Linked DNA regions of Arabidopsis thaliana. The protein of the gene in region 2 purifies or fractionates together with the protein of the main gene of each other region. This does not show direct contact. Each region holds a gene or a part of one and is shown on either strand. Other genes may lie near its edges.

Region 1 (7,800 bases), on a different chromosome or scaffold from region 2:
TCAAGAGCTAACTCTGTCTTCCCAATCCCTGGAACTCCATTTACACAAACAACACTTGTGCTACTTTTGCAGTTACTATTGTTTCTACACTTCTTAGTCTTCAACAATCTTTTAAGAGAGTTTTTCCCACCATTTGGATCACTCCAAGCCTCACTTCTTGAATCTGAGCATCTTCCAAGCTCCAAGCTAATAAACTTCCCATTTCGAGTTGGTACAACATCTGATTCCTCATCTGCAAGTCCTTCAGATTGTCCACTTGCTTCTCCTCTGGTACTTGGTGTTGTAGACTCAAGATACTCTCCATTACCAAATAAAGCCATCTCCATTTCAATGATCTCCTTTTCTCTTCCAAGAAAAGATCTGTTCCTCGGAAATGGAAGCTCATCAATCCCTTCCACAATCTCTTTATCAGCCACACTCTTCCTCCCAAGCTTTGCCCTGAGAATCGTCGCAGTCTTTCCCACACAGCTTCTCCAGTTACTCTCATTAGCTTCTAGTTTAAACTCATGAGACTTAATCAACCCATCAATGGCTTCTTTACACTCTTTATCTATGGCATTGCAGTTGAGAAGACCCATAATCTCAGAAGGACCAGTTCCATAGAAAATAGGAATCAAGTTCTTCTTTTGAGCAAAGAACCTAACTTCCTCCAAGCTAAGGTAGTTGAGCAAGCTGGAACAAGAGACAACCACAATCCCATAAGTAACAGAACAGATAACTCTGTCGGCGATCTCATGACTCTGTGTGTCCGAATACTTAGCTCTGTCAGCAACGAAACAAGCGATTCCCTGAAGCTCAAGCTCTGACTTTAACCATTTGCAGAATCTCACCAAGTTTGGGTTTTGTCCATGAAACCCTATGAAGACATCAGAGCTCCTGAGCTTGGTGTTAGTTGCAGGTGAAGAAACAGAGACTTTAGCCAAAGAAACCCTAGGAACAGGGAAAGAGAAAGAGATCCTTGGAGGAGCAGGATCTGGAGTACAAGATGCTGATAACTTGAGCTTCCGATCTGATGGTTGTTCATCAGAAAACTCGTACTGGTCAGAAGGAGGAGTGTAGGAGCTGCTTGGTACATCATCAGATTGTGAGCCTTTGTAAGAAAGAGGCGGTGATGGCTTGTGAGTGGTAATGGAGGGTGTTGTAGCTCTTGGGGATATATAAGGAGATTGCAAAGCGGAAACAAAAGCAGAAGATGGTGGGGACACAAGAGAAGGTGAATAGAAAGGAGAGTTTTTGATACTTGGAGATGAATCTGAAGCATTATTATTTGCTTGAAGAAGATCTTCTTTACCTTTCTTACTTGAAGAGCTTGCTGGTGATGAAGTTCTTATGGTTAAACCAACTAAACTTGCTTCTTCTTCTATTCCCTTCATTACTCCTTTTACTTCTTTCACCAAACACAAATTAAACTCAAATGAAAGCTCTCACCTCTCAGCTTCAAAAGGTTATGTCTTTATCTCTCTAACTTGGTAATGAATCTCATAATGGTGTTTCTCTGACAGATGATATTGAAGTGAGTGGGACTGAGAGGAGATGAGTCAGAACATGAATGCAACAGTTGATGCAGTTCAATGAGATTGAGGTAAAATCTGAGAAACTGCATGTGATGTATCTAACTCTTCCATTTTGTGGGGTCCCTCTTCTACAACACTGTTGAAACCCAATTTGTGTTTTCTTCTTTTCTTTATTTAATTTCTCCTCCTCCTCTTACTTCAGATTTGACCAACAACACCAAGCCAGTTTCAGAGAGTCTCTGCAACAATGGAGAGGTCACGGGTCAGAAGAAAAATCATTGCTTTACATTGAGTTTGTGGTCTAATGTTCATCATCATTAACAAGATTGAATCTTTTTACTCTCTAGCTAGGACCAACAATGAAAAAGCAACATATTAGTCAAATCTTTAAAGATGATTTCTTAAAGACTTACCCTTTTGTTTGATCTTTTTCAGACACAAGGCAAAAAAAGACGTGTCACTTCCCCTGCATATCTTTTCATTACCAAGCCTGTCTCTCTCGTCTATCTTTCTCTCTGTGTTTCTTTTTGAGGAAGAGCAGAAGATTGTGATAATGAAGAGGGAGAAGAATCTGGAGTTGTGAGTTGGATCTGAAAGTGCTTATGGACATTAATTTGTTTTTAAAATAGTGATTAAAGAAATGGTTAAGAGAGAAGCAGCCTGGAGATGGTTAATGTCTAAACATGTACCAATGTCATTTTATAATGATCACCCACTTAATCAAAAACCATTTTATAATTAACTTAAATTTATAATCTTGGATTCTCCTTTATGTCATTTGTTTTTAGCTCTCCTCTCTCTCTTCTCTCAACCTCCTCTGCATTTTCTGGAAATTTTTAATGAGTTTTTTTTTCTTCTTTAGTTTACCAAGAAGACTCCAGTTTTTATTTAAGATCGAGTTATTAGAGAAGTATAAATATAACATGGGTTACATTGGATTTAAGAGAGTTAAATAGACAAGAGTCAGATTTAAGACATTGAACTTTGAGCTTAAAAGAGGTTGTAGGATTGAAGAAAGGGAACCATTTTCAATTTTCTTAGTACTTTGGTTGTTTGTCATTTACTGTTTGTATTTTGTGGTCTATAGAAAACTCCAAACATTGTACTATATTGAGTATTGAATCATATAATACTATCATTGCTGCAATTAATAGGAGAAAAATGTCAAGAGAATATTTTACGTAAAACATATTTTGGGTTCTAAGTAAGTGAAATTCCTTCCACTATGTGATTATGAACTAAATTTCTAACAATAGTACTAACATAACATAAGTAGTAACCTAGTAGTATTTGACAATTTTTCTTATCAATAACATTTTAGTATATTGTAATTTGTAAGATAAACTCCTCATAATCGAGTAATTATCTTTTTTTTTTAATTCAAGGTGGTGCATGTATGTATGTGTACACTGACACAACATTTGAAATCTGATTTCACAGTGGGAATTGGTCCAAGACCAGTCCACTTGTGACTTTTTATTTATTTACCCCACACATTTTCACATTTATCTACAATCATAAGGGACTTTAAAAACATACACATTACACACACACACACACAAAAACAAAAAATTTACCATCAAAATCTTGGAGTGTGTGACGTATGAACAAAACAAGATTGATACTGTATGTAGAAAAGTCTCGTTATCAAACGATGTGGAAGCGTTTATCAAACGCTCAAGGATAAGTCTCGTTGTTTCCATACCTAAAAACGGCAACCACTGTATATAGAAAAGATGTAAACGTCAAAACTGAAGAAGTTAGAAAGACGAGGGTAAATTAGTAAAATAGTCGAGATCATATTAAAGTCCTAACGGTATATCACACACCGTTGAATTCCAGATCCGACCAGATAAGATCACGTCGAATCGAACGGTCATAAAATATCCGAGTAGTTGCTGAAGTATCCAGCGGTTTCGCCACGTGTCCCGACCATGTCGCTCACACGTTCGTATTTCTCTATTACAAAAAAAAGGAAACGAATCAAAATGTTTTTTGATCGTAACCGGGAAAAAAAAAACGATTTTTCGCAACGAAACTTTCCACAATCAACGGATATAGAGAGAGATCTCTGCGAATCGTTTAAATCGTCTTCTAATTTCGTTTCGGTCTCTTCGTAAAGGATTCACCTTTGAGTGGTTTTGCGTTCCATTTTATTAGGTACGTCAAGCTCGAAACTTTCGATTCATTGGCTTTCGTAAATGTGATTAATCTGGGAATTGAGTTGAATTTAGAGAACCCTATTGCTTCATTTTTGTTTTCGTATTTTGGTTTTATTGAATTTGCCTCTGGTTCTTACTGGAATGGTGGTTGTTTAGTCTTGAGATTGATCCCATGTGAAAAGTTAGTATTTTTGTGGCGTCGTCATGGATTTGGAGAGTGAAAGCTCTGTTCTTGAATCTGTTGAAGATAATAATGGTTTGATTGGTGATCTTGATAAAGAGTTGAATTCACCGGTTGAGACTTCTCCTCTTATATCAAAAGGATTTGGTTTAAGAAAATGGAAGAGGAGGTTAAGGAGAGATCTTGTTAAGGATGATACTTCTGTGAGTATGGAGAATAGTAAAGCTCTGAAGAGGGTGTTGTCAGGATTAGTTGATCCGAATGCTAAACAAATGCATTTGCCAGGACCTGAAGTTAGACAAGATAGTGTTGGTTCTGTTGGCTCGGTGAATAGTGTGGTTGGTTTTGTAATGGGTGGGGAGAGTTATGGCAATGGTCTTGCTTTTGCAGCTGGTGTTGATTCGGATAACAGTGAGGATCGGAGTAGTACAATGAGTCATTCTTGGGACAAACATAGAGGAAAGGTCTCGGGTGGGAAGAGTGTGATTAGTTCGGGGGATAGTAGTCAACAAAGGAAGAGTAGTGTAGAGAAGAGTAATAAACTTAGAGGAGAAAGGATCAAAATTGAGAAGGAAAACTCTCATTCCAGCATGGAATCTGCTGACTCAAGAAGCTCCAACTTTGTGTTTATGCAGGGTGCTTCCTATAGTTTGAGTAGCAGAGAACAAGGCGGAAGAAGAATGATGGATTATGACGATGAAAATAGTGATCATGACGCACATACTTCGAAGAGAAAGGATAACGTGGAAGAAGAAGAAGAAGAAACAGAAGACTATTCACAAGGAGACTGTGTTGAAGAGTCTCAAATCAAGAGCAATGGTTCATCAGACAATCTGGATCCATTAATAGTAGCCGTCAACAGTTTCCAGACTTTGCAAGAAGCCCTCCAAAAAGGTATCAATTTCATAAATACAGATTTTCATTTGGAATTTGATTGTTGCTGCATTGTAGTAGTCCTAATCAACTAAAACTTGAATGACTCTAACACTGGTTCCTTATGATGCCGTGTAATATTAACATGATTGTGTTTCGAGTTTGACTAAACTCCTGTTCTTTTTCCCTTTTCAGAACTTCAAAAATTCCAAGAGCTTGGGAAAGAAGAACCTATAACATCACTGCATGATGGAGGAGAAAGCAGCAGTTGCATACACGCAGGACACGAAGGAGCTAGTGAAGCAAGCTCTTCTTACCGGTTTGGGTCTGAAAAGATGGGAGAAATGGAATTAACTTCTCTAGATTCCGAGATACTAAACCTGGTGAACAATGTAGAGCATCTGGAGATCAAACTAGAAGAAGCAAAGCGTATTCTCGAGGTTAAAGAAACACAAATCCGTGAACTCGAATCTACCATAAACGTTTCAGAGACGTGTAACGGAGGAACAGAGATCGGGATAGAAGACATCTTCCAGCAAAAGGTGGAGGCAGAGATTGAATATATCATATTCTCAAGATCAGTGGGAAACCTAAAGAGACGGATCAAACTGATTGAAGAAGAGAAGACATTGGGGCTATCAAAGCTTGATAAAGCAGAAACAAAAGCTGAGAATCTAAAGAATCAAGCTCAAGATTTACAAAACCATTGTGTAGAGATCACAGAGATTCAAGAAGTGGAGTGCCTGAAGAAGAGAGCATTTAAGACCACTAGATGTCTTCTTCTACAGTTAGGCTTGCTCTTTATACTGTATTATTCTCTGTTACCAGAACCGGAGATTGCTGTTCCCACATGATAGTTTTGTTTGATGGAATCTGTTTTTATCTATATTTATACAAGTTTTGTATTTATATATATTGTAACATTTTGGCTCCAATAGACCCAACTCTTCTTTGCTTTCTACTTTGTGTTTCTGCGTGCTGCATTGTCATGACGTCAGTGTGTATGTATAAAATTGTTGCCTCTTTGTCAACTTTGCCATCATTTTCCATAATTTCTTTAGTAAATAAGAAATAATGAAATACAGAAGATAAGATATATAAACACACAAGTGAAAAAAGTTTAGATATTCACATGTACAATGAAAATTTGCACATAACCTTTAAATAATTTGAGTCGGTCTTAATATATATTCATTGTAAGCTCTTTAGAGTTTATAAATAAGAAGAATTCAATATAGTTGTGTGAATATATTGTGTGGTGTGTTGTTTGTGATGACACATAGAAGTGGTCTTATGTCATTAGCTGCAAGTGGAGACTTTTGACAATTTGACTATAAACAGCCATCTTAATGTTGGTTTGTTCCAACAACACTTAACAATGCCCACGTCTTGAAGAGTTTTAGATTTGCAAACCAATAATCAATTTGATCAAATATACTTAAAAAAAAGAAGAAGTTATTATTCATCTTAGACTCACTCATAGGTGTCTTAATGTGATGATCTTTGGATTTATATCCAAATCATTTTACAAATTTGGACCTACCATAGTTTGGTCTCTTTTCTTAGTGTAATGAAGAGAGATTTGATTCTTTCTTTCAAATTTGGTGTGTTTCAAAACTCAAATTTGGGGTATGTAACATATGCTAAGAAATTGTAAAAAAATACCACACTAACAACAACTTGAACTATAATAGATCATATCATTTCTTAGTGGAAGTTAAATTTGTATATGGTCTTGCTTGGAGATCCACTATTCTACAAACATAGACTAAGAAAATGTCAATTTTGTTTGTCCTAGAGTTCGGTATTCCAATTAATTGGAGCAACTTCTAATATTTATCATCATAAATTTATGGAGAAACCATTTGTTTGAAAAAAGAAAAGAAAGATAAGATGGTGAAATGAATAAGATGGTTTACTTTATGGAACTTTGGTCAATTAAACTATCATGCTTTATGTGAATCCAAAAGCATAATAAAAGAAAGATAGAAACATATCAAAGCTTGAGAGAAGAAAACAAAAGAGTATATATATCTTCTCATCAAATCAAATTAACAAAAGACCCCACCAAATTAAGATTAAAAGCCAAACACTAAAAGTACCATAAGAACCCAAAATCAAAATATCTTTCTCTCTTTCTTCTTCATACTACAATGTCAACAACTCCTTTTTACCATCATTACCTCCTAATTTAATAAGTCTTATTTTTTTGTCTTTTTTTTTTTTAAAGTTAAAAAGATTACTTGCTTGCATATATACGTCTCTTAGACTCTTTCTTCTTCTTCGTTAGGTGGCAACTCATTCAAGTCAAACTCCAAAACTCTTCTCTTCAATTTCTTCACCTCTTGTACTGTCTCTGTTACTTGACTAGAAGACGCAGTTGCTGGAACGGTTGGAGCAGCGGTTGGAACCGTGGTTGGAGCCACAGTAGAAACTGGTGCAGTCCAATGACATCTCTTGTGACCACCAAGAGCTTGACCTGTTGAGAAGCTTTTGTGACATATATTACAAACATGATCTCCATTATGACTACTGCTTAAAGATGTGTTTGTTCCTTGAGCACTAGCTAAACCGGTTATTATTGCTTCAGTTCCAAGTAATGAAGCTTCAGCGTTTGCCCTAGCTTGATGATTCTCCAATATCTTGACCTTGTTGTGACTTGCTCTATGACCTCCTAAAGCTTGATAAGAACTAAACGACTTGTTGCAAGTCACACACACGTGCTTCTCACGTGCACCGGCACCACCACCTTCCTCAGCTGCAACAACAACAACCTGATCAAGCTGATGATCATGATGAGTAGATGTTGATGACTCTTTCTCCATCTCAGACAATCTCTTCTGCTTCTTCTTCCTCTTCTTGACCATTTCCAGATATTTCTCTTCAACGGAACGCGAAGCAGAAGTCTCAGCAACATTAAGATTAGCAGCTGCTTCTGCAGTAGTAGCTAAGAACAATAGACCATTAGCATCATCAATATCCTTCACATCTTCTAAAGGTGGATCCTTCAAATCTGCTTCATCAAACTTCAAATCACCTCTCCTTCCTCTCTTCCCTTTTGTTGACCATC
Region 2 (8,065 bases):
CCTACGATGCTTATCTATTCATACATGTATGTCCAAAAAGGCTTTTGCATAACCTTTCATTATTCATGTTTGAATTGTGGTGAGTGGTGACCATACAAAAATTATTATAAATCATCGATTTAAAAACTCTGTTTTGATTTTTTCTAAGGATTTATGATAAGAAGGCATATATATATATATATATATATAATGTTTTTGGTATTTCCCCAAATTCCTATTCTTATATCTCTATGCCAACCATTTCAAAAATATGTAATGTCTTTACAACTAGATTATTAACAACTTTATAATAATATGTAAAGGAATGTATAAAAGCTAGTATAAACAAACAAACAAAAACGAAAAAAGAAAAGAATTAGAAACAAGTTTTAATTAATTACCTTAATCAAAGTCTCGAGCGGTTCGCGATAGGTTGAGTTCCCACCACCAAGAATCTTCCCTTTGGAGGCTTTAAACCTCTTCAGGTTACGGTTAAGTGCGTGGCTCACAAGTCCTAACGAGATACTGTAAAGGCGAGTGAGATTCCCCATCGGCGAACCAATCGCGGCGGCGAAACCACTCTTAGCCTCCACGAGTCCGTCAAGACACGTCTGCTGATTCGTCACTACACCACTGAGAAGACTGTTCACATGCTCGACGAGAGCTGCCGTCATCACCTGCGCCGTCTTAAGCTCCGTCGTGACGGTTTCAAGGTAGTTCACACTCAGCTCCGATAACTCGCCGCAGTCCGCCACCGCCCCTATTTCCTCGGCCGTGGCCGAGCCTGGTTTGCTTTCCACGCGCCGCGCGTAACTGGTGATGACTTTGGATAGACGGCTTGCTTGCTTGAGGCATTGCTTTATAGTGAATTTGCCGTAACGGTAAGGATCTGACGGTGAGGATTTGACAGCGTTGAGGATCGTACGGCAAAGCTTAGGGTATGGAGTTGACTTGCAAGCGAGAGAAGGTGACTGAGACTGTGACGGAGGCAAAGAAGGTGGCTGTGACGGTGGCACGAATATTGGTGGCTGTGACGGAGGGAAGAATGGTGACTCTACCGGAGGCTCAAAAGGTAGCTGTGACGGAGGCTCAGAATGTGGCTGTGATGGAGATTGTTGTGATGAGATAAGCAGAGCACATGAGAGGAAGATAAAAGACAAGAACAAGAGAGAAGAAGTGAAGTTTAGTGTTTGCATTTTCATCCTTTTTGTTTTGTTTGTGTATTGATGGTGTTTGTTATTTTGGATCTAAAATCTGCTATATATATAGACTATACGAGGAGCTTTCTGCTATTTAATGAATGCATGGGCTCGAGGGAAACTGAATTTATCATTTATGTAATGCATGTTGGTCTAATAATTAAGGGTTATACTCGTTTTGGTCAAATGAAGAGTTTTTTTGGAGCCGGTGGTCCACCGTCACGACGACCAAACATGGGTTGACTTGGTTAGGAAAGGTTTCTTCATGTGATTTAACCGTAAAAAATGGCTATTTTTAGAGCTTAATTTTGTTTAGCTCAATTTGTTATGCCAGTTGACACTGTAAAAAATTAACATTAATCAGACATGTCAAAGATGAATTTGTATTTAATTTAATTTATAATCAAACAAGCTGTGTTGACTTGGAAGAGGGTTTCATATCTATTATTTGACCGTAGATTTTGCATGTGATGTGTTGGGAAGCTTTTAGACAAGGCAAGACGGTGCAGCCTAGAAGAAGAAGTCGTCACTTTGTCGATTACGCAATTCACACTAACAAGTTATGGTCCATCTATATACACACTCTTCCTATTCATCACATATCGTTGTAATACCAAGTACCCAAGGTAACCATTAATAATCCAAATTCAATATTTGTTTCAACTAATGAAATATGTATACTCTATTAGAATTTGTATGATTTGTTTTAGGTGAAAGCTTAAATTGAAACTCTGTTACAAAACCAAAACCGGACATCAAACTAAGATCTATATTATTCAATTCGGAGGATACATACCCTGACCAAATAAACCGAACCAAAACAGATTTGAAGCTAATAATCACGAATACAACCAAATGATTCTGATTACAGACTAAGAGAAGCTTTCCCACCACATAAACTAACACAAAAAAAGAAGAGAGATATCTATTAGAGGGAATGTTACAAAGAGAAGAAAAGTTTGACGTGGACTTTCAGATCAAGCATGAGCAACAGAGACTGAGTCTAGTTCACGGCCATGAACCCTGAAGCGGTAGATGCAAGTGTGTGAAGAGCTTCCATGGTTGGAATTGAAGTCTAGCCTGACAGTGTTGACAAGTCCTGAGTGAGCAGAGTCTGCAATGTCGAATGTCTGTGCATTGGACCTGTCTAAGTCGTAACTGAATTCTGTAAGAAGGGGCATTGTCTCAGTCTCCATATCTATGTCACCTAGCCATCCTGATACACGGCAATCCTTTGGGGCGCTCGATCTGTCATATGCTACAGCCTGTTCGATTAAATGGTGCATAACATAACCGTAAGATTAGTATTGCCTTTTAGTGGTCAGACAAGAAGAAATTTATCAGACAAATGATCACAAGGATGAACAATGATGGAAAGCAATGTGTGACCATCACATTACACACTCTTGAGACTATTTCCCTTCAGCTACTGTTTCCTAAGGATATCCGTAAACAGTGAATATTACAGTTCCACTAATTGTAAACTTACAAGCTCTTCCCATACATACGGTTCTTTTCTCTGTCAACGATGTCCCAAACAAAGCACAACAACACAGTGGCATTGATATTAGACAAAGGAACTGCTAAAGCTAGTGATTTGCAGAAAATAACAATAGGTAAAATCCTCCTCAATGCATATTGTCACAGCTAGTGCCTAAACTAAACCTCAAACTATAAGAACTCAAATTCACAAAACTAGTTTCTTGCCCTCTATTCGATAACCTATTGTCACCAGCAATCCAATCCGAAGTACAGGGCATCTCAATACCAACAACATTTAACAGAGAACCCTTCTTGAAGGCTCAAATTAACATATAAAAATCAATCATTTTGTGAAAGTTTAGTATTGAGATGTTAGTACTACCTTAGAGACATGTTCCAAAGTAACAGCTTCTGGAATTATTGGTGCTCTTAGCCTGACTAGAACATATCCATTGCTTCCTTTCAGAGGAAAACACTGTCCAGGCTCCCCGAAACTCGGAGTTAACATCTTAACCGCTTTGCTATGAACCCGTCTCCTGCTTGTCCCAAACCAATTACGCCCATTTCCAACAAGAAACGGATCCGAATGCCCCATTACAAAAGCTCCACCAGACGCTAACGCATAATCTACTCGACCAAGGCCATCTGCAACATGTTTCCCTATCTCTTTCTCCACTATGTCACGAGCATAAGCCCTCAGTTTATCAATGTTAACATCAGAATCACCGACCTTACCCTTCTTCAACTCCTCGTAAACTCTCTCTAACTCCTCTCTAGACACCAAAGGTTTAGCATTTAACTCATCTACAGAAACCTGTAACCTCTCTGTCTTAGACTCTACCTTCTTCAACTCACTATGTAACACAGAAGATGTGGAATCTATCGTCTGCCTCAATGCTCTTGATTCACTATCCATCTTCTTATCAAGAAACTCAACTTGAACCTGCATCATCTTCGTCGTAGTCTTCACCAAACCATCAACTGCAGAAATCCGACTCTCCAATTCCGAAAGCACCATTTCCGTTTCAATTGGGAAATTCGAAGAAGACAGAGACGAATCCTTCAAAGTCAATTTCCTAATCAACTGAATCAATCCAACAAGTAACAAAAGAGCCCCAAATTGCTTCGCGAATACCCTAACCACTGTCTTCCATTTCCCTCTATCTATCTTATTCCCCTGAGACTTCCGCGTCCGACGCTGCGTGGTGGTTGTATTAGTCCCCGTCGCGGTGGATCCTGATTTCCTTGTCACCGGACCTACGTCGTAGGTGTTGGATCTCTCACCGGCAGCCTCGGCGCGAATCAGATCCTTGTTCGTACCAGCAGACGACTCTCCAATTGCCGCATTGGCATGAGATTCGCTCGGCGGGAAATCAAAATTAGATTTCTTCTCACCGGAGAGAACCGGCGTCCGCCTTATTGTCCTAGGACTAGCGGTGATTGACACCGTTGACGCCGACATGATCTTCAATTTTGAACTACAGAATTCGAAATGCTCTTCCTTATGAATAAATAAACCCTAATTTTGACTACAGAGAGAGAGATTTGAAATGGAAGAAGAGTGAGGAAGTTTATATAGGAGAGAGATCACTACAAAATTCAATTTTGAAAATCTGAATCGTGTGTTCTTCAGTTTCGCCATTTTTATTTGTTTTGATGCTCCTCCATTTTTTTCAAAATTCATTATGATGGGCTTTTAAAAGCCCAATAATGGAAATAAAATGGCCCAGCCCACTTTCACGCCTCGTCATCTTCTTTTATGCTAAGAAGAAACTGTTGCTTCATCATTCTTGCATATCAAGATATCTAGAGTCGAGATAAGCTCATGATTAAAGAAAGTAAATTTATTCACCAGACTATTATTATATATACACAAGGGTACGTTATAAGCATTTATGGAATGTAATTAGATTTGAACCACAAAGAGACTTTTGACATGAAAGTTGATACTTCCTTGTCATTGTTTCTCTTCACACAGTGGTAGTTTTCTGATGGGAAGAAGAATCAGAGATTGGCATTCTTATCTTTGCAGATTCCTTCAACAAATCGAATGAAGAAAAGGAATGTGGCGGGAGAACAACGGTCATATCCTCCTCTGCCAACTCTAGCAAGCTTTCATGTGGTACAACCTGCAAATAAAAACCAATAAGAACATGGGAACACTCAGAATTTGTGATGATAATGATGTTTCTTCCATCTCTTGATTTTTACCTTCTCTGGCTGTGAGAAGGAATTTTCATCCATCACATTGGTAGAGGTAAGTACTGTCTTCTTTGATCCCGAAACTCTCATCACGTTCGGGTCCAATCCAGTTACCAACACTTGCATATTTTCTGAGTTAGCTCCGAAGTTTACAGCCTGCAAATAACAGATTTTGAAACAGTTTTTTAGGGTCAATATCAGAGCTCCGGTTGAATCTTTCACTCGGTTTACCTTTATGCGTATGTAATCTTTGCCATTGTTTTTCCAAGAGATAGCAGATGCAACAAGAGAAGTAGAGTTTCCCTTGAGTGTTGAAGTGAGAAGAGTTGCTCCGCTTGACTCTGCAAAAAACCGTTGAACCCAATAGCTAGGTGTTCCATATAGATGAGAGGAGTTGAAGACTATTGCATCAGGGTTCCACCTGAAACCAATTTAACAATTTGAGATTATTGCCTTATCTTCCTGAGTAACCATTCGAACGGAAAAGTAAGTGAGAGATACCGTCTATCATTTGTGTTCACAAAGAGTGGAGCATAACTTGCCATTTCAACAATGTCACTGCAAAAAGTCATAAGATGTTTAACTTATTTGATGTTTTTAGTTGAGATCAAAGCCTGGGAAGAGAAATTCAAAGGGAACCTATTCTTTTCAAGACCAATGAGAAACGCAGCTTCTGCAAGAGAGGCAAGAAGGCTTCCTGTACCAGCATCTTTTCCAGTAACAGCATATTCACTGACAAAAGCCTGTAAACAAAGTTCACGAGTGAGTAAAACGCTGAAAGCTTCATCTTGTGTTTGTTGGAATTAAGTTTTGTTATAATCTATTACCGCACCTTTGGACCTTTGCGTGAAGTGCGATCAAATTGATGATACATGGAAAACAAATTGCTAGCAGAAGTGTAAATCTGTGACAAAAAGGAAACACTTTTTTCAGGCGGAAGAGAGAACACAAGACAACGGTTACAGTTTCTGTCAAGATAGAAAATTTTACGTGATAGTCATAGTAATCAGCTGGGTGGTCGAGTGGATGAGAGGATCCATCGCAGTTGGAGATGATTTTGATATCTGGATAGGCTTTCTTGATAGCATCATAGAACACAATGTAGTTTCCTGTAAAGTTGTAATCTCATTTAGTGTCAAAGATGCTCAACAAAAATCTAAGTCAAGATGTGATCATAGAGAAATGCAAAACCTCTGTAGTAAGTTTTCCCACAATCTTCATTTCCAATAGCAACGTATTTAAGTTCAAAAGGTTCTTGGCGTCCCATTTTAGCTCGAACAGATCCCCAAGTAGAATTGGCATCTCCTCGGGCAAACTCGATACCGTCGAGTGCTTCCTGAAACAAAAAGAGGAGAAAGTTTTGGTTTTCCGGCTTCTTCACTAGTGAAACAGAGGAAGGTTTAGTAATCATACTTGAACAAAGGGCATGATACTGGCAGTTTCAACTTCATCATTGTGACTTATCCCTGCACAAAGTAAAAAATAAGGTTGACAGAATTGGAAGACAAAATGATATAAGTCAGTTACAACTAAGTTTTTGGAGAGTGAAAGAATACCGTTGTTAAACACCCATATCGGGGCTGCACCGATGTCTTCTGCCATCTGCAAGAATGTTCATTTAATATTCAATAACGAGCTTCGGGGATCATTATGTACTCAATAGAAAAGAAGAAGTCTCACTTGAAAGAACTCAAAGTGGCCAAGGCCATCATCGGTCCAATACTTCCAAACATCACCAAAATGGCCCGGTCTCTCTTCCCAAGGTCCTACGGTTTCTTTCCAGCGGAAGGCATTACTTAACCATTCACCCTCGACAAAACAACCACCTAAATTCACAAATATCCAGAGTAAAGAATAGACTTTAGCTTATTTCATCTTAAGTCATGCTTTTTGTCATATTGAACTAAGAGGTACGTCTATGGATAGAATAAGTAACAAAAATGCTACTAGCCTTAAATAATACGTACCTGGGAACCGGATGAAACGGGGTTTTATATCGGCCATCATTTGGAAAAGATCGTTTCTAAAACCATGTCCCTGCAATCAACCAAAAAGATCGAGTATTTGATAGAGTTCTTCTTCCAATATTTTCTCTATTAGCAATCTGTAATCTTCCATCTCAAGGCTCTACAGGGAATCAGAGAGAGCGAAAAAAGAACCTTGTGAGTATCCACTGGCATGGCCGAGACTTGGTCAATCCATATTGACCCTTTCTTGGTTGTTGTTAACTGAAGTCTTGCACTAGGATCGGTCGCTTTTGCCTCCAAAAGAACCTCTTTTTTAATCCATTTCGAAACATCAGAAGCAGAAGCTCTACATTGAAACAAATGAAAGCATACAATTGAAACTTTCACACACTGAAACAGCAAAATAAACATATTCAGACTTAACTGAAGAATCTGAAATTATTTCTCACATGATCTTTTCAGAAGCAAGAGTCCGTGATCCATTCGAGCTCGTCAACGACACAGACAAATCGATATCACCAGTCGAACGCACATAAAGAGCCACCTTGTACTTCTTTCCTTCTTCAATATTCTAACAGAAGATAGAAAATGAATAAACAGCTAAACCCATGCTCTTGACACCGAGGGAAACAAAAAACCGAGCTGTAAAGTGTTCACAATTTGACACTCACCATGCCCCAGTAACCAGGGTTATAAACTCCGACACCTCCCGATGGACAACCTTTGCTATCACAAAGCACATCCATTCTCAGTGCGATTTTATTCCGTTCAAAACATGATGAACGGTCTGTAGCTACATATATGGATGAATGATCACCAACAATGGACCATGGCCAAATATTAGAGGGTGTGTTTTGCCCACCAGCTTCAAACCCTGGAAACCAAAGTTTTTCCTTAAAAGTTACTACCACATTTTTTCTCATCATGTAAAGAAAGAAAATGAAGCCAAACAACGATTGATTCCCATGGATTTCAGTAGTAACAAGCTAAAAAAAACTAACCTCTGTTGCTAACAAGTTCGGCCCATAATCCACCGGCACCAGCATGGTTGATCTCCTATAATGAACATAGAGCATATAAAGTTTATGATTGATTTGAACACATTGCGTACATTGCAAAGATCTATTTGAGACCGTAACATTAACAAACCTCGAAGAAAATCCCAAATAGCGTTTCAGGAATGGGTCGTCCACCTCCATTAGAAGCATCTACTTGCAAAGTCACGGCTGGTTTTGG
Region 3 (8,976 bases), on a different chromosome or scaffold from region 2:
ACTTTTATCCTTTTTCAGCCTGCCTCAGTGACATATTGATGTGCACATGCAGAATCAAAGAGCAAAGCTGAATTAGGGAAGCTTTTTACATTTTCTGAACTCAATACCAAGACTTGACAACTGGGTGCTAAGTCTCAGATTAAGAGCAATGAGGCTTGAACCACACAGAAAAAAAATAAACACAAGAAGCAACAGAAAAAAAAGAGCAATAGCTTAAAACCAAGAAGTTGAAAAAGTATGGGTGGAAATCGTCTAGCTTCTGAATCCAGCAAATTTCTCAAAATTTGAAAAGGAGGTATCACAAAAAACAGTCTGGCCTGGGTTACACAGTGAAAATATCTACTATCTTTTCAACTTGGAAAAAAATAACAAAGGAGAGAAAAACGATAAAAAGGCAAGTAAACTGGAACAGTGGAGTAGAAAATGATTTTGGGTGTAAATCGGAATAGCAAAGGTGAAATCCCGTATAAGAAAATATGACCACTAACTCACAGCGACATGTAGTAATCCAACAAATGGAAATGAGGACACAGCTGTAGCTATTTTAATCTGACCGTGTACTTCGGATCCCCCCAAGTTGTAAAAAGACAACAATTTCTTGACAAACTACAAAAATAAAAGAGTATTAGAGGATTAAAACATACAGCCTCACCACTCATCGCCTATGATAATTCACCGTCAGATTAAAGCAAAGAGATATATCTGATATATGATTAAAACAGTCATCCAATCTCGATATACCCAACATGGACTTACCACTGAGATGCTTAGCTCTTTACATGTTTCCTTCCAAGTTGAGATGAACAATTTCAAAGCTCCTTCAGAAAGAGTGAAATCAGCGTCATTGACACTGAAAATCTGCGCATCAGAATCATCTGCCGATTTAGGTATCTTTTGTTTCACATGTCCTCTACGCAACTTAGAGGGGCCTCTTCTAAGCAGCTTGGGAGAATCAGATTTTTCATGATTACGACTTTCAGCCTTCCTTTTCTTACTGGAGCTCCCAAGCTGCTTAACCTCTTCTTCAGCAGATGAATACGGACAACTACTGAAATGGTCAGATCTTTTAACATTTTCAACCTCATAATCAGCACTATCATTTTCCTCCGAGCTCGGTGAATTAAATCTTGTATGCTTGCCACAATAATCCTTATCTTGCCGTTGTTTCTTTGATGAGAGGATGCGATACTTCTGATGCAGTTCAGTCAATACGATCTTCAATATTTCGCCTTCTTGTCTCTTCGCATCTTGAATGAAAGATACATACATCCTATAAAATGCATTAAACAAATAAAATCAGCTAATGCGAACATATACAACCAACTAATACAATAATCTAGTGATTCCTTAAAAACCAGATTCATTCACTTGTAACCAAACTTCAATTCAACATCCAAAAAAATCAAAAGATCTTAACAACGCACAGAAAAACTATCAAACTGATCATACCGCAAGTTCTGAATACGGACACCAAGCTTTTCCTTGCTTGTAACTGCTTTAGCCTCAGCAACAAAATCCAGGAATTCATCGAGCTTAACATCGTCAATATCGTAAGTGTTTAGATAGCTATCAAGTAATGATATTATCTCCTCACTAGTGATCTTAACTGGGGCAGTAGAACAATAGACGGATGGAAAATAGAGCAAGACAAGTGGATGCTGCAGCAAAGGTCCCAATCCCAGATCATCAAAACAACCAACAAACTCGTTTTGGCATATTGCCACTTCCAAATCATGCAATGTCACGATTCCTCTAGCGCCAATGAAGCAGTGAATAAATGCAATGATCTACAAGATTCAAAGGTTTTAAGTAAAAGGAATCAACTTTGCAATAGATAGGCTCTGTTTCATTTGCAATATAGAAAATTTTAAGCTTTACCTTGCCTTCAAGGGCCATGAGTTGGCGAAGCGAAGGAACATCTTGCATCCATATCCCCAAGGAACGCCAAGTGTCAGCCTGAAGTTGTGCTAAAACCGATTGCGAAACTCTAGTCGAAGATACGTTGTCTCCAGCAGCAATTAATGATTTACGCGTATTGTTTACGGCCTTATCAATTCGAATAAGTTCTACATTAGCGCCGCCGCCAAATTGTGGATGAGGGAAATTGAGATTCTGCTGCGTCTGGAAATTGTATCTGATGGGTTGTTGTTGTTTGACAATGTAATTGTGAAATACAGGAGTCGTTTGAGGAAGATACCCTCCGTTTCCATTGCCGCTTCCACCGTACGCGGAGGCGCGTAGTGACCACGAGCCGTCGCGATTCCCTTGCATTGGTCGGCGCAAAAACGAGGAAAATAAAAAGCTATCGGAGAAGTAAAGAGGGAAGGGTTTTAACTTTTAATAGAAGGGCTGGTGTCTCTCTAGCTCATTCGGAGGGTTAGGGTTTAAGGTGAAACGTACCGTTTTTGATTTAGCATCTGTAAATATATAATTTTCATAATATTGTAATTGATAGATGAAAATATAATTTGGATGTCTAAAAGTAATTTTTTGAATATACAGTCATTGTATCGGTCAACAAAAGGAAACATTTTTTTTCTTTAATTATACCAAAATGAAGTTTAATTACAAAAAGAAAAATTTAATTTGAATTGTAGTACTATTGTATTGGTGAGTTGTTCAAACCCGGTTTCACAAAATATGACCAGATATGTATATACCGTGTTTGAACCGCATGGGACGTAAACCATAATTCTTTAGTGAATGAAAGCATAGTAGCATACGGTTCAACGGTTAGCTATACTACCATTCGGAAATTTTGCGCGGTTAATATTGTTTTAGGGTCCACCACAACATGACACATACATTGAATCAGCTTCTATTTTCGTCTTAAAATGAATACTCACTCTTCTTAGGTTTTTCTTTCAAGTATTTTATTCTTCAGGTATTGACTTACTTGCGGTAACCTTTTTGTTTTCTAAGAAAAATCTTGTGCTTAATGGGTCAAAACTCCACTACCTCTTTGTATTCAAAATCTTACAACGTCCTAAAACCTCGTCTATAACACAAAAATTAACGTAAATTCATTACAGTTTTTGGGTCAACGTACTCCTTCGTGTAGGTCATCTCATCTGCTTGTTGTGCTCCATTCCAGTCTTTCTAACGCTACCGTGAGGATGGGAATGTCTAATGCGACTGCTTTTTGGATTAATGTTAAGCTTTATTACTTCTGAATGAATATAGCTTCGACAGATTTAAAACGGGAATGAAATACAACCAAAGTAGTTTCACACTTTTTGGATTCAGTTTTCTATAGTACCATTTGCAAACATATACGTGTGTGGGCTGCCATATCAACTATAGACCCGTGAACCCAATCATGCATCAAAGAATATCAGTGAACTCATTTCCAAAGCTAATAAATATTTTCATATATCTTTAAATAAAGTGCAAATCATGGATTAGAGTACTAGCTAGAAAAGTCTTGCGTATGAAAAACAGTGTATGTATCATCAATATCGTGTAATCTGCTACTTGGATCATCCAACGTCAATAAAAGTGAACGCGTGATTTTATAACAATTTACCTTTTTTTATCATTTGTCCCTAAAAAGACGGCTAAAATGATGTTGGAATTGTTGTTTTGATATGTAATGATGAATTTTGTCTTCGCCGGTCTATATGCACTTAAATGACAATCATGACTATAATATGATGAAAGGATATCGTATTTGTTGGTTTAAGATGTTACAAAATTTTAATAATGGGAAAGGAAATGAGGGTAAAGAAGAAAAAAAAAAAGACTATGATTCTTAGGATTCTCTTTCATTGAAAAGCCTTGCGCTTGTGCGTTTCCTTTTCACTATGTGAAGTAAGACCCACCACATTTTTGTGAAGAAAATTTCACTCTTTTCCTCTTGATGTAAACGCGTAGACAGACACGTGCGACATTTCTGCACTATACGTTTTGGGGGGTAGGAGGAAAAGAAAACAAAACTTTAAAGAAGAAGATTTTGTATTGGAGAAAAATAAAGAGAGAACCTATTTTGACGAACGGCTACGATACACACCAGGTAGGTTGATATTAATATATAAACTTTTCATACTACTAGTCTTACCCTTCTTCGTGTGGAGGTAGAGAGAGAGAGAGAGAGGGAGAGTGAAAGAGAGGAGAGAAAGCGAGAGATGAATTCTTATGAGACGAAAGGCTTAAGTTTCGAATCCCCAAGCTTTATTGAATGGCTTAAACCTCAATCTTCTACTACTTCTTCTAAATCTGTGTTATATCGTGGGAAGACAAGAGATGCTATATCAAGATCAAATCACCACCAGAGTCAGATGAACATGTTGGAACGATCTCTATTCTTGTACCAACCACAAGAACCACTCAACACGTCTATTCAATGCTTGCCTCTTCTAAACAAGCTCATGGAAAATAATAGTCAAGCCTCGGATATCAAAGAAGAGAATAAGGATGATGTGGTTACCCTCCAAATCGGATTTCCTAAATACCACCGTGGTAGCTCGGAGGATGGCTCTGATATAACTTTCGATCATCAGAAGAAACCCATCAAGAGAGAGATAATAGAAGATGGTGTGGTGATGATGAAGAAGAGGAGGAAGATGAAGTTTGATGAGGAGATAATTGATTCTGATGTGGAAGTATGTGGGAAGAGGTTTTGGATACCAAGTCCGGCTCAGATTCATGTCGGTCCAATGCAATTTGCTTGCTCTATTTGCAGCAAAACATTCAATAGGTACAATAACATGCAGGTACGTCTTCTCTCTAAATATCATCTTTTTCCTATATGATTTGTTAGATAATCTACATATCAGCTACAAATCTTGCATTATGTGTTAACCATTCTTACTATATGTCAATGTATTATTTACCAAGAAAAAGAAACATTAGCACTATATCAACTTTACCTTTGCCATTATCATAGGGTATTAATTCATTTATGGTTATTTACTTATTTTCCCATATAAGCTAGCAAAAAACAAAAAACGGTCGATAAATTCATTTTGTTTTTGAAGAATAACATTTTCCCCTCAAAGGGAAACTTATCATATCGCAGCAAACAAAACTTTATATATATCTTAATTATTCAACAACACATTAATAACAAAATAATTAACAACATATTTTAAACAAAAAGAAGTATATTATTATTATGTATTCCGTAATGTATTGTACTTTGTGTATAAATGTTTAAAAACAGTTAAATAATTGTTTATATAATTGTATGATCATACATTACCATGTAAATTAATTCCTTCTATTGATCATACACTTCTTTTTGTGAGAATTTTGCTGCATATGTATATGATGATCTTACATTCTACAAAATATATTATCGTATATATACATACATGCATAATGTTGGAAGGAAATTAGTTTTTGTCATTTAAAGATGTTGAACATTGATGACTTAGTTATTACGATAATTAATTGCGGTTGGTGTATCATTCGCAATAGATAAATTAAGAGAAGGATGAATGGGTATATAACTTCTGGATTAGTTGAGAAATCTTCGAAAAACTTTTTGACTTTTTTTCATTGTTTGCCTTGCCTTTTGGTTGAAAAGCCAAAAAGCAAAAGAATAATCACGGAGTGGGATTTGGTAAAGTATAATTCAGCAAAAACCCAAAAAGGGGGAGAAAATTTAAAAAGCAATGATCATACTACTTTTACTGAATATATGCAATCGATTACTTAACCTAATGAAGATCTTAGTAATTAAAAAGCCTTCTAATTAAGTATCATTGGTTTCTAAGTTTATATATTTTACATAGGATTCTCTCCTTTACCATTTACTATAAATTTTCTTTCGTCCCAACTTTAGTTCGAAATTAAAATCATTATCCCAATACCACTTGTTAATTAAGTAGAAAACACATTTTTCTTACATCATATATGGTTTCTTATTGAAATTGTGATTACCATATACGTGGTCAAGAGTTTCGTCAAGTCCTTTTATATCCATTCCATTCCCTATTCCTACAGTGATAAATATATGCACAATTTTATACATTTGTGTATTATTGATAAGTCTCCTAAATGCAAATGCACTCCTGAGTCTTGACTAGAACAAGCATTCGAGTACTATTTAGAAACATAATGGGACAAGAAATTTCTGTCCTACAGATCATATATAATTGTCTATTAGGTACCATACAATATCAATATGTTAAATTGATAATATTCAAAATAAAATAGAGTTCTTATGGTCTAATGAATTTATATATGCAAAACACAGATGCATATGTGGGGACATGGATCTGAGTTCAGAAAAGGGGCTGACTCGTTGAAAGGCACAATCCAACCGGCAGCCATCCTGCGGCTGCCATGCTATTGCTGTGCCGAGGGATGCAAGAACAACATCAACCATCCGCGGTCCAAGCCCCTGAAAGATTTCCGTACACTTCAGACACATTACAAACGTAAGCATGGCTCCAAGCCCTTTTCTTGCGGAAAATGTGGCAAAGCCTTGGCTGTGAAAGGCGACTGGAGGACCCATGAGAAAAACTGCGGAAAGCTTTGGTATTGTACATGTGGATCAGATTTCAAGCATAAGAGGTCTCTCAAGGACCACATTAGGTCCTTTGGCAGTGGACATTCTCCTCACCCGTCTCTTTTGTTTGACGGTTTTGAGGAGGATACAGAATGCGTCACCACAGAGTGAGAATGTTGTTAGATACACCGGGGAGACTGTGGAAGGTAAGATCCTAATTTTCTAATGTTGCTTCAAACTGTGCGCCACAAAACATCTCAAGTCTACCAAAGAATTTCTATCTTGAAAAGGTAGAAATTCTTTGTTAGACTCGAAATCAAAATATATAAAGTTACCACATAAAATGAAGCAACATTTTAAAATTTAGATCTTTTTCCTTTGGATACGGTTACGATTAAGTCTACATGAAACCCGGTGTCATCTGTCTGTTTTTATTTTATTTTGCTTTAGTTTGAGACATAGATTTGAGTATTTGTGTGTTACGTAATATGCATGTGATATTAGGGTTCTTGGTTTGGTAGGGGATTTTTGCTACTAAATAAGTAACCTTAAGAAAAAAAGGAGGTTTAATTATGCTCACTAACAAAAACTTCTCTTTGTCCGAGGGATGTATTTGTCGGAGAGCATTTTGTGGCTCGAGTAAACCCCTATTTATCTTAGTGATTAGTAGTAAGTATGATTTCAATCTTAATTAGGGTTTTCTTCTTAATAAAGATGGTTTCTCTCTTTAAAATTTTGTGAAGCACGTGAATTTTCTGTTTCTCTCATGTATTTGTATTAGAAGAGAAAATTGGTGTGCTTCACTTCATTATTGTACGATAATCCTCAATTAAAGACTCTTCCTATTATATTGTCTCTCTTTTCATTACATATAATAGCTTTCGATCTTCTTGTTGTTACAAGGATTCACGCTTTTGTGTTTTGCATGAATAAACGTACTACTCAAACGTATTAAACTTGCGTGTGGGATTAACTTTTTCGATCGACACGTCAATCTGAATGATTTTGGTTTATATTGATGTGAGAATATCGTCCAAATATACCATATATATATTTCAATATGTGTGACAACACAAATCTAAAAATTGTAAAGAGTACTCTTACCATTGGGAAAGTGTTGCATCTTCACTGCCCAATCTGAAGCAAAATCTTTGGGACTTGGACAAAACGACACTCTTGCCAACAAGCTTCTTCGCTTGAACAACAATAACTACATGACAAAACTCTTGATGGTATATATGTATATTCAATGGTAAACTTGTACCAAAGGGATCTTGAATTCTTTTGGTAAGAATGGAATGGCCCTGGGACTGTTTTCCAGGTCTCGATACAATCTATACTCTGCTTCATAGTCATGAAGCTTCAGCTCTGCTTTCTGATTAGTATGGTAATGGTGCTTGGTTGAATTCAACTTCCCAAACCCGAAGACACTAACTTTCTCACAAATCCCCACTGCAAGCATCACAGCCTGCATACCCGACGAATAGTGAAACAACGAGCCTTCATGATCTTTACTCCAATCGACAAACCCTTTCGCTTTCTTCTCTTCCAAGAACTTCTTCACCGAGTAATACTTCACGATTCTAGCACACATGACATCGAACCTCGGATCCGTGATAAGCAGAGGAGCTCGATGAGATGGTTTACACAAAGTGTAATCCAAAACATGAATCGGTTGGCAAATGTACATCACAATAGGCACTGTTTCACCATAAGGATGACAATAGCAACTCTCCCTTCTCCCACATTGATGCAAAATGTTACTATTTATGAAAGATATATTTGTTTTCGATCCAACCTTCTTCTCAAACCTCTCTGTTTTCGCATTGTTCAACCGAATCACAATCTCATGCTTATCAATGAGATCTCCGTATTGACTATTTAGCAATGTACCACTATTCCCAACCACTGCACAAGATAAGTATCTTTCACTCGAAATCGAAACAACACCATTGTGAACATCAATCGGATTCTTAACTAATCTGATCAAATCTAACATGATATTAGGTTCATAAGCTCTTCTACGAGCCCAAAGCCGTAAATTTCTTTTGAACTCTGACCAGTAACGATAAGCCTGAGAAGAACGAAGCGTTACCGGAAACTTGGAGGAGGAAGCAATGTCTCTACTCACACGGCGTTGTTGCTCGCTTGGTCTTATTGACATGGAGCTGAAATGTCGACGGTGGCTTCTCCGAGTGTGGTCGTAATCGGAAATCAAATCGACTTCCTGTTTGAAGTTAGGTTCTCCGGGATCAATGGCGGCGAACTCGAGCAATGTCTCGTTGAATACAATATCTTCAGTCATGAGACCGGAGGAACCAAGCTCAGCGATGGCGGAAGCGAAGGAGAAGCTGCTCCGACGAATCGCCACTCTGCAGATGAGTGTAGCGGCGAAGAAGGCGAAGAGAAGAGCACTGAAGAGAGGTCTAACGGATCGTTTCATCGACGCCGCCGTGATAGATGAGAAAGAAAGAAAGTCGGAAGCTTTTAAACCCCCAATAATTGACGGCGCGGGTCGGATT

The links.
Region 1: the proteins of SUN2 (region 2) and WIP2 purify together in Arabidopsis thaliana (affinity purification with western blotting, with the first as the bait; 2 studies listed by BioGRID). This does not show direct contact.
Region 3: the proteins of SUN2 (region 2) and WIP3 purify together in Arabidopsis thaliana (affinity purification with western blotting, with the first as the bait; one study listed by BioGRID). This does not show direct contact.

What each region holds. Positions count from the first base shown.
Region 1 is NC_003076.8:22,748,444-22,756,243, reverse strand, and holds WIP2 (WPP domain interacting protein 2), read left to right. Parts: upstream 1-3,426; 5' UTR 3,427-3,880; coding exon 3,881-4,751; intron 4,752-4,925; coding exon 4,926-5,584; 3' UTR 5,585-5,782; downstream 5,783-7,800. Other genes in the region: AT5G56220 (P-loop containing nucleoside triphosphate hydrolases superfamily protein), read right to left, coding at 1-1,373; AT5G56200 (C2H2 type zinc finger transcription factor family), read right to left, coding at 6,995-7,800.
Region 2 is NC_003074.8:3,356,401-3,364,465, forward strand, and holds SUN2 (SAD1/UNC-84 domain protein 2), read right to left. Parts: upstream 4,303-8,065; 5' UTR 4,123-4,302; coding exon 3,043-4,122; intron 2,444-3,042; coding exon 2,156-2,443; 3' UTR 1,888-2,155; downstream 1-1,887. Other genes in the region: AT3G10720 (Plant invertase/pectin methylesterase inhibitor superfamily), read right to left, coding at 381-1,181; ASD1 (alpha-L-arabinofuranosidase 1), read right to left, coding at 4,631-4,789, 4,872-5,018, 5,094-5,283, 5,364-5,420, 5,502-5,605, 5,695-5,766, 5,853-5,971, 6,054-6,198 and 9 more. UniProt on the Arabidopsis thaliana protein: Component of SUN-protein-containing multivariate complexes also called LINC complexes which link the nucleoskeleton and cytoskeleton by providing versatile outer nuclear membrane attachment sites for cytoskeletal filaments.
Region 3 is NC_003070.9:2,608,329-2,617,304, reverse strand, and holds WIP3 (WIP domain protein 3), read left to right. Parts: upstream 1-3,927; 5' UTR 3,928-4,124; coding exon 4,125-4,712; intron 4,713-6,199; coding exon 6,200-6,625; 3' UTR 6,626-7,309; downstream 7,310-8,976. Other genes in the region: NVL (no vein-like protein), read right to left, coding at 493-606, 757-1,270, 1,450-1,787, 1,879-2,302, 2,401-2,531; AT1G08280 (Glycosyltransferase family 29 (sialyltransferase) family protein), read right to left, coding at 7,701-8,897. UniProt on the Arabidopsis thaliana protein: Probable transcriptional regulator.